Saccharomyces cerevisiae S288C: one gene and its partner. Each later gene encodes a partner of the first gene's protein in a complex. Each region holds a gene or a part of one and is shown on either strand. Other genes may lie near its edges. A codon is read from its position in the direction of its gene.

Region 1 (5,148 bases):
ACATATTGACTGTGTTTTTGATAGATACAATTGCAAAGACTTCAAACGTGGTAAGGAACGAAAGTTCTAACGGAGGATGGTGGGAGATTACTCATAATACTCTGTTTATTCCGGCAAATGAAACATTTGATAGGCCTCATAATGGTTATGTTGATATTCTTCCGATTGGTGGTTACAATCATTTGGCTTATTTCGAAAATAGTAATAGTTCACACTATAAAACATTGACAGAGGGGAAATGGGAAGTGGTGAATGGCCCACTTGCCTTTGATTCAATGGAAAATCGTCTTTACTTCATTTCTACACGAAAGAGTTCAACCGAACGCCACGTTTACTACATAGATTTACGGTCACCAAATGAAATTATTGAAGTTACTGATACTTCTGAGGATGGTGTCTATGATGTGTCCTTTTCTTCTGGTAGAAGGTTTGGTTTACTCACCTATAAAGGACCAAAAGTTCCATATCAAAAAATTGTGGACTTCCATTCTCGTAAAGCAGAAAAATGCGACAAAGGTAATGTTTTAGGCAAATCACTATACCATTTGGAAAAGAACGAAGTACTTACCAAAATTTTAGAAGATTATGCGGTACCCAGAAAATCATTCAGGGAATTGAACCTAGGAAAGGACGAATTTGGAAAGGATATACTAGTGAACTCGTATGAAATCCTACCAAATGATTTCGATGAAACGTTAAGTGACCACTATCCTGTATTTTTCTTTGCATATGGGGGACCGAATTCTCAACAAGTTGTCAAAACGTTTTCCGTAGGATTTAATGAAGTGGTAGCTTCACAATTAAACGCAATTGTAGTTGTTGTTGACGGTCGTGGTACTGGCTTCAAAGGTCAAGACTTTAGATCCCTTGTTCGCGATAGGCTCGGTGATTACGAGGCCCGCGACCAAATATCTGCGGCTTCCTTATATGGTTCTTTAACTTTTGTTGATCCGCAAAAGATTTCCTTATTTGGTTGGTCATACGGGGGGTACCTGACACTAAAAACTTTGGAGAAAGATGGCGGAAGACATTTCAAATACGGGATGTCAGTTGCGCCAGTAACCGACTGGAGATTTTACGATTCTGTTTATACTGAGAGGTACATGCATACTCCTCAAGAAAACTTTGATGGATACGTAGAATCAAGCGTTCATAATGTCACTGCTTTGGCACAAGCAAATAGATTTTTGTTGATGCACGGAACAGGAGATGATAACGTTCACTTTCAAAATTCCCTAAAGTTTCTGGACCTTTTGGATCTAAATGGTGTGGAAAATTATGACGTCCACGTCTTTCCTGACTCAGATCATAGTATAAGATACCATAATGCGAATGTAATCGTTTTTGACAAGCTATTGGATTGGGCAAAGCGTGCTTTCGATGGGCAATTTGTCAAATGAGTTGACTATTTACAGCTCATCTCATAGAGACATTCATAAAACATTTTCATATTTACATACTATGTATATATAAAATTGGTAATATAACAGATTAATGTTCGTAGAAGATGATGTGTTTTACGGTGGCAAAAGGCGAGCACGAAATTTGGCAAAGGGTATAAGTAATTAAGCAAATTTGGTCAAATCTATAATTCTTCACTAACAAACTTGCCCATTGGTCTACATAAGGTGCGATTCGTATAAATTTGGAAGACAATTGCAAGAAAATGGTAGACGAAAGTGATAAGAAACAACAGACTATTGATGAACAATCGCAGATAAGTCCTGAAAAGCAGACACCAAATAAGAAGGATAAAAAAAAGGAGGAAGAGGAGCAGCTATCCGAAGAAGATGCAAAGCTTAAAACAGATTTAGAGCTATTGGTTGAAAGGCTGAAAGAAGACGATTCATCTTTATATGAAGCGTCTTTGAATGCCTTAAAGGAATCGATCAAAAATTCTACGAGTTCTATGACCGCCGTTCCCAAACCTTTGAAATTCCTTCGTCCGACATATCCAGACCTATGTTCTATCTACGACAAATGGACAGATCCAAACTTGAAATCCTCTTTAGCGGATGTCTTGTCCATTTTAGCCATGACATACTCTGAAAATGGTAAACACGATTCATTGAGATATAGATTACTCTCCGACGTTTCTGATTTTGAAGGGTGGGGACATGAGTACATCCGTCATTTAGCTTTGGAGATCGGTGAAGTATATAATGATCAAGTGGAAAAAGATGCTGAAGATGAAACATCATCTGATGGATCTAAAAGCGATGGATCTGCGGCTACTTCCGGGTTCGAATTTTCCAAGGAAGATACTCTTCGTCTATGTTTAGACATTGTCCCATACTTTTTGAAACACAACGGTGAAGAAGACGCGGTAGATTTGCTTTTGGAAATTGAATCTATTGACAAGCTACCTCAATTTGTCGATGAGAATACCTTCCAAAGAGTTTGTCAATATATGGTTGCATGTGTTCCACTTTTGCCACCTCCTGAAGACGTTGCCTTTTTAAAAACCGCATATTCTATTTATCTATCTCAGAACGAACTTACAGATGCAATTGCTTTGGCAGTTAGACTAGGGGAAGAGGATATGATCAGATCCGTTTTCGATGCTACTAGCGATCCAGTGATGCATAAACAATTAGCATATATTTTAGCCGCACAAAAGACATCGTTTGAGTATGAAGGTGTTCAGGATATAATTGGAAATGGTAAATTGTCTGAACACTTTTTATATCTTGCTAAAGAATTGAATCTAACTGGGCCAAAAGTCCCAGAAGACATTTATAAGAGCCATTTGGATAACTCTAAATCTGTGTTCTCAAGCGCCGGCCTAGATTCTGCTCAACAAAATCTAGCTTCGTCATTTGTCAACGGGTTCTTAAACTTAGGTTATTGTAACGATAAATTAATTGTGGATAATGATAATTGGGTATATAAAACCAAAGGTGACGGTATGACTTCCGCGGTAGCTAGTATTGGATCTATATACCAGTGGAATCTCGATGGTTTGCAACAACTGGATAAGTATCTCTACGTTGATGAGCCAGAAGTTAAAGCTGGTGCATTATTAGGTATTGGTATTTCCGCTTCCGGTGTGCATGATGGTGAAGTTGAACCAGCTTTGTTACTTTTGCAAGATTATGTTACTAACCCAGACACTAAAATTAGTTCAGCAGCTATTCTTGGCCTGGGTATTGCATTTGCTGGTAGCAAGAATGACGAAGTGTTGGGTTTGTTATTACCAATTGCCGCATCCACTGACTTGCCTATTGAAACTGCAGCTATGGCTTCCTTAGCTTTGGCTCATGTTTTCGTTGGTACTTGTAATGGTGACATTACAACTTCTATCATGGACAACTTTTTAGAGCGTACAGCCATCGAGTTGAAGACCGACTGGGTAAGGTTTTTGGCACTTGCTTTAGGTATTCTATACATGGGCCAAGGTGAACAGGTGGATGATGTTTTAGAAACTATTAGTGCTATTGAACATCCAATGACATCAGCTATTGAAGTATTAGTTGGTTCATGTGCTTATACTGGTACGGGTGATGTTTTGTTAATTCAAGATTTGTTACATCGTTTGACCCCTAAAAACGTAAAAGGTGAAGAAGATGCAGATGAAGAAGAAACTGCCGAAGGACAGACTAATAGCATAAGTGACTTTTTGGGTGAGCAAGTGAATGAACCTACCAAGAACGAGGAAGCTGAGATCGAAGTGGACGAAATGGAGGTTGATGCCGAAGGAGAGGAAGTTGAAGTTAAAGCAGAAATAACAGAGAAGAAGAATGGTGAGAGTTTAGAAGGTGAAGAGATAAAATCCGAAGAAAAGAAGGGAAAATCTTCCGATAAGGATGCTACTACGGACGGGAAAAATGATGATGAGGAGGAAGAAAAAGAAGCAGGCATAGTCGATGAACTTGCTTATGCAGTTTTGGGTATTGCTTTGATTGCCCTTGGTGAAGATATTGGCAAGGAAATGTCTTTACGTCATTTTGGTCATTTAATGCATTATGGTAATGAACACATCCGTCGTATGGTTCCTTTAGCGATGGGTATTGTTTCCGTTTCTGATCCACAAATGAAGGTGTTCGATACCTTAACTCGTTTTTCACATGACGCCGATTTAGAAGTTTCAATGAATTCAATTTTCGCTATGGGTCTATGTGGTGCTGGTACTAACAATGCAAGGTTAGCTCAACTATTAAGACAGTTGGCAAGTTATTATTCACGTGAACAAGACGCTTTGTTTATCACCAGATTAGCACAAGGGTTATTGCATCTTGGTAAAGGTACTATGACAATGGATGTGTTCAATGATGCACATGTTTTGAATAAGGTGACATTAGCATCAATATTAACTACCGCAGTTGGTTTAGTATCGCCAAGTTTCATGTTGAAGCATCATCAATTGTTCTACATGTTGAATGCCGGTATAAGGCCAAAGTTTATTCTAGCATTAAACGATGAGGGAGAGCCAATAAAGGTTAATGTGCGCGTTGGTCAAGCAGTGGAAACTGTCGGCCAAGCAGGCAGACCAAAAAAGATTACTGGCTGGATTACGCAATCCACTCCTGTTTTACTAAATCATGGCGAAAGAGCAGAACTAGAAACTGATGAATATATTAGTTACACAAGCCATATTGAGGGCGTAGTAATTTTAAAGAAGAACCCTGACTATCGTGAAGAGGAGTAAACTGAATAGCTTTTGGGCAATATCAACCAGAATAGGAAAAATTCAAAACCATTTTAAATAAATATATATTTATATAGTTGTACATTTTTTTCTCTTACTTAATATAATATGATTTTTAGATAATAAAAGAAAACGTGCATATATACATACACATGTATCTCAGATATCTCATTATATCTATTAGTAAATATGGATGCGCTTATCTAGCTCGTAAAAACGGAAAAGAAAAGCCTGGTTTGAGCGCTTACTGAAATTCAGAAGCTTTACCGGCCATCAATAAACCAACAATCAAACCTAATAAACCTAAAATGGACCCGAAAATTTCAATGACCAAAATTTTAACAAACAATGCGGAATCAGCAGCATCGGAAATGGCAGCAGTCGCACCGGTGATACCGACAGCGATACCACAAATCAAATTGGAAGCACCGACAGTGATACCTGCCCAGAAAAGAGAATAACCAGTGTACAGGTTTGATTTCGAGTACATGTTCTCAGCA
Region 2 (3,641 bases), on another chromosome or scaffold:
TTTCGAGTTTTTATTTTCCGCCACACCTACTCTATAAGTTATGTCATATGGTGTTTCTGGCCTTTCTAAGATTTCAGAATGATTACTCATTATAATGATTTTTAAAAGATAAATGCAGTGCCTAAATGATATATGAAGTAAGAATGTGCAAAATCTCGTATACTCGGTATAGAATGGAATTTAACTCACCTCCTAATTGATAATACTGCCTATTTATTTTCTTTTCAACGACAACAAAAATAAGCGTTCACTTACTTAAACTATCAAAACTTGTTGTGTTTGGGGTCTGTTAATGTAAAGGAATCCGGATAAAAATTTTGAGACAACTTTGAGAGCTGTTTAAGACGAAAAAAAGTGACCTCAAACACACGAATAATAATGTTTAACTAAGCTTTCAATTTGCAAAGGTATACTTTGTCTTTTGAGTTTTAGTTTCCTATAAAATTAGGACAACAAACCCTCTCAGATGTGTTCACCAGTTTTCCTTTGCAGTTAGAATTCGCGAAGGCCCCGACGCCCTACCTATATTAAGTTTTTGAAACAAATATTGCACGTGATACAAAATGTACACATATTAAGCTTTGTTGAAGCATTACTTATATACGTAAATCTATTATAGAAAAATGTAAATGGGCACATCACAAGTATAAACCTTCTAAATTTTCCTCAACTTTATTTTTCATGACTCTCTCCTTGGCTTGTTTAAAATCCTCCGCTGTAACTTGCATTCTTCTCTCTCTAAGGGCTAACAAACCTGCTTCTGTACACATTGCCTGGATATCGGCGCCTGACAAATCATCCTTTGTTGTTACTAAAGTTTCAAGATTAACGTCCTCACTTAAATTCATCTTGGAAGTGTGAATCCCTAAAATTTTTTTCTTAGTACTTAGATCAGGGTTTTCAAATAAGATTTTACGATCAATTCTCCCAGGCCTGATTAATGCTGGGTCAAGAGTCTCGATTTTGTTAGTGGCCATAATCACCTTCACATCCCCTCTGTCGTCGAACCCGTCCAGCTGGTTCAGCAATTCCAGCATGGTTCTCTGAATTTCTCTCTCACCACCACTATTGGAGTCATATCTTTTAGTACCAATGGCGTCTATTTCATCAATAAATACAATACTTGGTGCATTCTCACCCGCTACTTTGAAAATTTGCCTACACAACCTAGGACCATCCCCCAAATATTTTTGAATTAACTCTGAGCCAACAATCCTTAAGAATGTGGCAGATGTTTGATTTGCAACAGCCTTTGCTAGCAATGTCTTACCTGTACCGGGTGCACCATAAAGAATCACACCCTTGGGAGGTTTGATACCCATCTCTTCATACAGTTCGGGGTGTGTTAACGGTAACTCTACAGACTCTTTTATTTCTTGAATTTGAGATTCTAAGCCACCAATATCACTGTATGATTCTGTTGGCGACTTATCCATTTTCATGACCGAAACCATTGGATCGGCGTCATCCTGTAAAACACCTACGATGGACATGGTTTTATGATGCAATAACACAGAACATCCAGGCTCTAGTAACTCTTTATCGACAAAGGATAAGATAGATACATAATAATCAGGCATAGTTGGACTTGTCACTATCGCATGATCATCGTCTATAATTTCTTCAAGGGTCCCAATGCTCAATGGATTTCCACGTATTTCTTCCAATTGTTTCTTTTCCTCCTCCTGCTTCTTTTCAAAGGGTTTTAAAATTTCAGAGTTAGAGACAAATTCTTCTTCTAATAACAAATGGTCTTTAATTCGTTCCATCCTTAGAAGCTTTAACTTACAACGAGTACTTGGATATATGTTGGGTAATTTTTCAGCAGTAGCTGGACCTCCCTTTCTTTTCTTACGACCAAATTTAGATTGAACGGGAGGTTCATATTTGGGTTTCTGATTAGATCCCTTCTTCTTCTTTTTGTCTTGTCCAGATGATACACCTTGTCCCATTTTATTTTCTATTAAAAACGCTGTCTCTTCTTTAACTTGAATTGACTGTAAGCTTGACACTGATACGCATCATATTCACTAATATTCACATTAACCTTCTTTTAGGTAAAAGAAAAGAGACATTTGCCACCGGAGAAAAACCGTTAATAACTCGTTACCCGGAGTGATAAAAATATTGGGAATATAAAAATGACGACAACTGCAGGACTCGAACCTGCGCGGGCAAAGCCCAAAAGATTTCTAATCTTTCGCCTTAACCACTCGGCCAAGTTGCCTTACTAATGATGAATTATTGACTTAAGATATATCCCAAACCTAGGAATATGTAAACCTGCTGGAATATTATTTGTTAGAATAAAAATCAACTATTCTCTCTCAACTAGTAGTCTTACTACGAGTATATTATAATGTACAATGTTAGATGATGACATAAGGTATGAGAAACTGTCATAGAAGTTAGAGGAAGCTGTATTCTGTATACATAATATTATTGCCTTTATTAACAATGGAATTCCAACAATTATCACTTGTTGATAGTTAGAGGTAAAAAATAGTATTAATGAAGAAATAAGTATTGATCTTCTTATACTAAATAAGAGAGGTATATAAAACACACGCCGATTGGTCATATTAATCATGACCAATATAATAGTGATTCCGGTAGTTACTATACATTGATGTGACGACTCATATTCCTCATATATGTACCTACCATATCATGTTCAATTAATAGATCTTTAGCACAGCTTCAGTATTGTCTGAGCTTCTCGTTTAACATTCCTTCTGCAATAGGTGCAATCACACTTAAACGTATACGAGGTGTACATTAATATACGGTGTAAGCATTAGATTGTTACCATAGCAACTCATGTCACTATTAATTACTCTCGTTCCAACATCACTAAATTCCCGTAATTACCACCGCAAAAGAAAAAAGAATACAAGAAATGGAAAACTAGCGCATAATTTTGTTTCTTTCTTTTTCAAAGTTGCAGCCGCTACTATTGATTCGTTTGAAAATAGCACTTGGCGGCTAAACTACCGGCATAGAAAGTGGATCGGGCAAAATTAAAAGGGAAAGAGCGACGGGGTTACGGGACCATTACATAAAAAAAGTATCACAAAATCTATTGTATGCAAAGATATAAACCATCACATTATTGAAATAATATCGTTCTTGATACTTCCATAATCCAAGAAAAATATTTCAAGCACTTTCTTGATGTTCCTTCCTATAATTTTTCACACCATCCTAACCCTCCTGAACTTTGGTAAATATTACTGTTTACCTATTCAAGAAGACGATGATAAATCAGGAAAAGAAATTGAACAAATTTTAGACAATAACATCGAGTCATTAGGACTACTACTAAATTCGATGTCCTTATCCTCGAACTTTACGACAGGCGATCCTGAACTAGATTCGCTCTTCCAAGATGATTTAATCCCCGAGTTATATAGTGTATTAGATGGCTTCTAACACCAAGTATGTGTATTCTAAGGGTATACAAAATAAATACTGCGATACTATTCAATTCTTCAACAGCAGCTTACTAGATGTAAAATTAGTTACTTCAATTTATACTGTCACTTTTGCATATTTTCAATAGAATAAAATTACCGACGTCTGCCTATTTCTTCCATTGATGGATATATTTCTTTCTCTATCTCATTGCTTGTTACAACACC

Evidence for each region. The genes of interacting proteins can lie anywhere in the genome.
Region 2: the proteins of RPN1 (region 1) and RPT2 are in contact, whole or in part, in a cryo-EM structure (PDB 6FVW), measured with the Saccharomyces cerevisiae proteins. Residues at the interface, in NP_011892.1 of Saccharomyces cerevisiae: Lys57 (codon at 1,835), Asp142 (codon at 2,090), Ser144 (codon at 2,096), Asp145 (codon at 2,099), Phe146 (codon at 2,102), Trp149 (codon at 2,111), Leu205 (codon at 2,279), Asp206 (codon at 2,282), Ile207 (codon at 2,285), Pro209 (codon at 2,291), Tyr210 (codon at 2,294), Gln247 (codon at 2,405), Tyr248 (codon at 2,408), Met249 (codon at 2,411), Val250 (codon at 2,414), Ala251 (codon at 2,417), Cys252 (codon at 2,420), Pro254 (codon at 2,426), Leu255 (codon at 2,429), Asn364 (codon at 2,756), Ser365 (codon at 2,759), Asp613 (codon at 3,503), Leu616 (codon at 3,512), Leu620 (codon at 3,524), Leu624 (codon at 3,536), Lys627 (codon at 3,545), Lys720 (codon at 3,824), Asp723 (codon at 3,833), Glu724 (codon at 3,836), Glu725 (codon at 3,839); in NP_010277.1 of Saccharomyces cerevisiae: Thr53 (codon at 1,796), Arg54 (codon at 1,793), Cys55 (codon at 1,790), Leu57 (codon at 1,784), Lys58 (codon at 1,781), Leu59 (codon at 1,778), Leu60 (codon at 1,775), Arg61 (codon at 1,772), Met62 (codon at 1,769), Glu63 (codon at 1,766), Arg64 (codon at 1,763), Ile65 (codon at 1,760), Lys66 (codon at 1,757), Asp67 (codon at 1,754), His68 (codon at 1,751), Leu69 (codon at 1,748), Leu70 (codon at 1,745), Leu71 (codon at 1,742), Glu72 (codon at 1,739), Glu73 (codon at 1,736), Glu74 (codon at 1,733), Val76 (codon at 1,727), Ser77 (codon at 1,724), Glu80 (codon at 1,715), Ile81 (codon at 1,712), Leu82 (codon at 1,709), Pro84 (codon at 1,703), Phe85 (codon at 1,700), Ser180 (codon at 1,415), Tyr181 (codon at 1,412).

The regions. Positions count from the first base shown.
Region 1 is NC_001140.6:161,230-166,377, reverse strand, and holds RPN1 (proteasome regulatory particle base subunit RPN1), read left to right. Parts: upstream 1-1,666; coding exon 1,667-4,648; downstream 4,649-5,148. Other genes in the region: DAP2 (dipeptidyl aminopeptidase), read left to right, coding at 1-1,400; VMA16 (H(+)-transporting V0 sector ATPase subunit c''), read right to left, coding at 4,893-5,148.
Region 2 is NC_001136.10:436,358-439,998, reverse strand, and holds RPT2 (proteasome regulatory particle base subunit RPT2), read right to left. Parts: upstream 1,953-3,641; coding exon 639-1,952; downstream 1-638. Other genes in the region: type 2C protein phosphatase PTC1, read right to left, coding at 1-90; YDL007C-A (uncharacterized protein), read left to right, coding at 3,175-3,432. UniProt on the Saccharomyces cerevisiae protein: The 26S proteasome is involved in the ATP-dependent degradation of ubiquitinated proteins. The regulatory (or ATPase) complex confers ATP dependency and substrate specificity to the 26S complex. Has ATPase activity.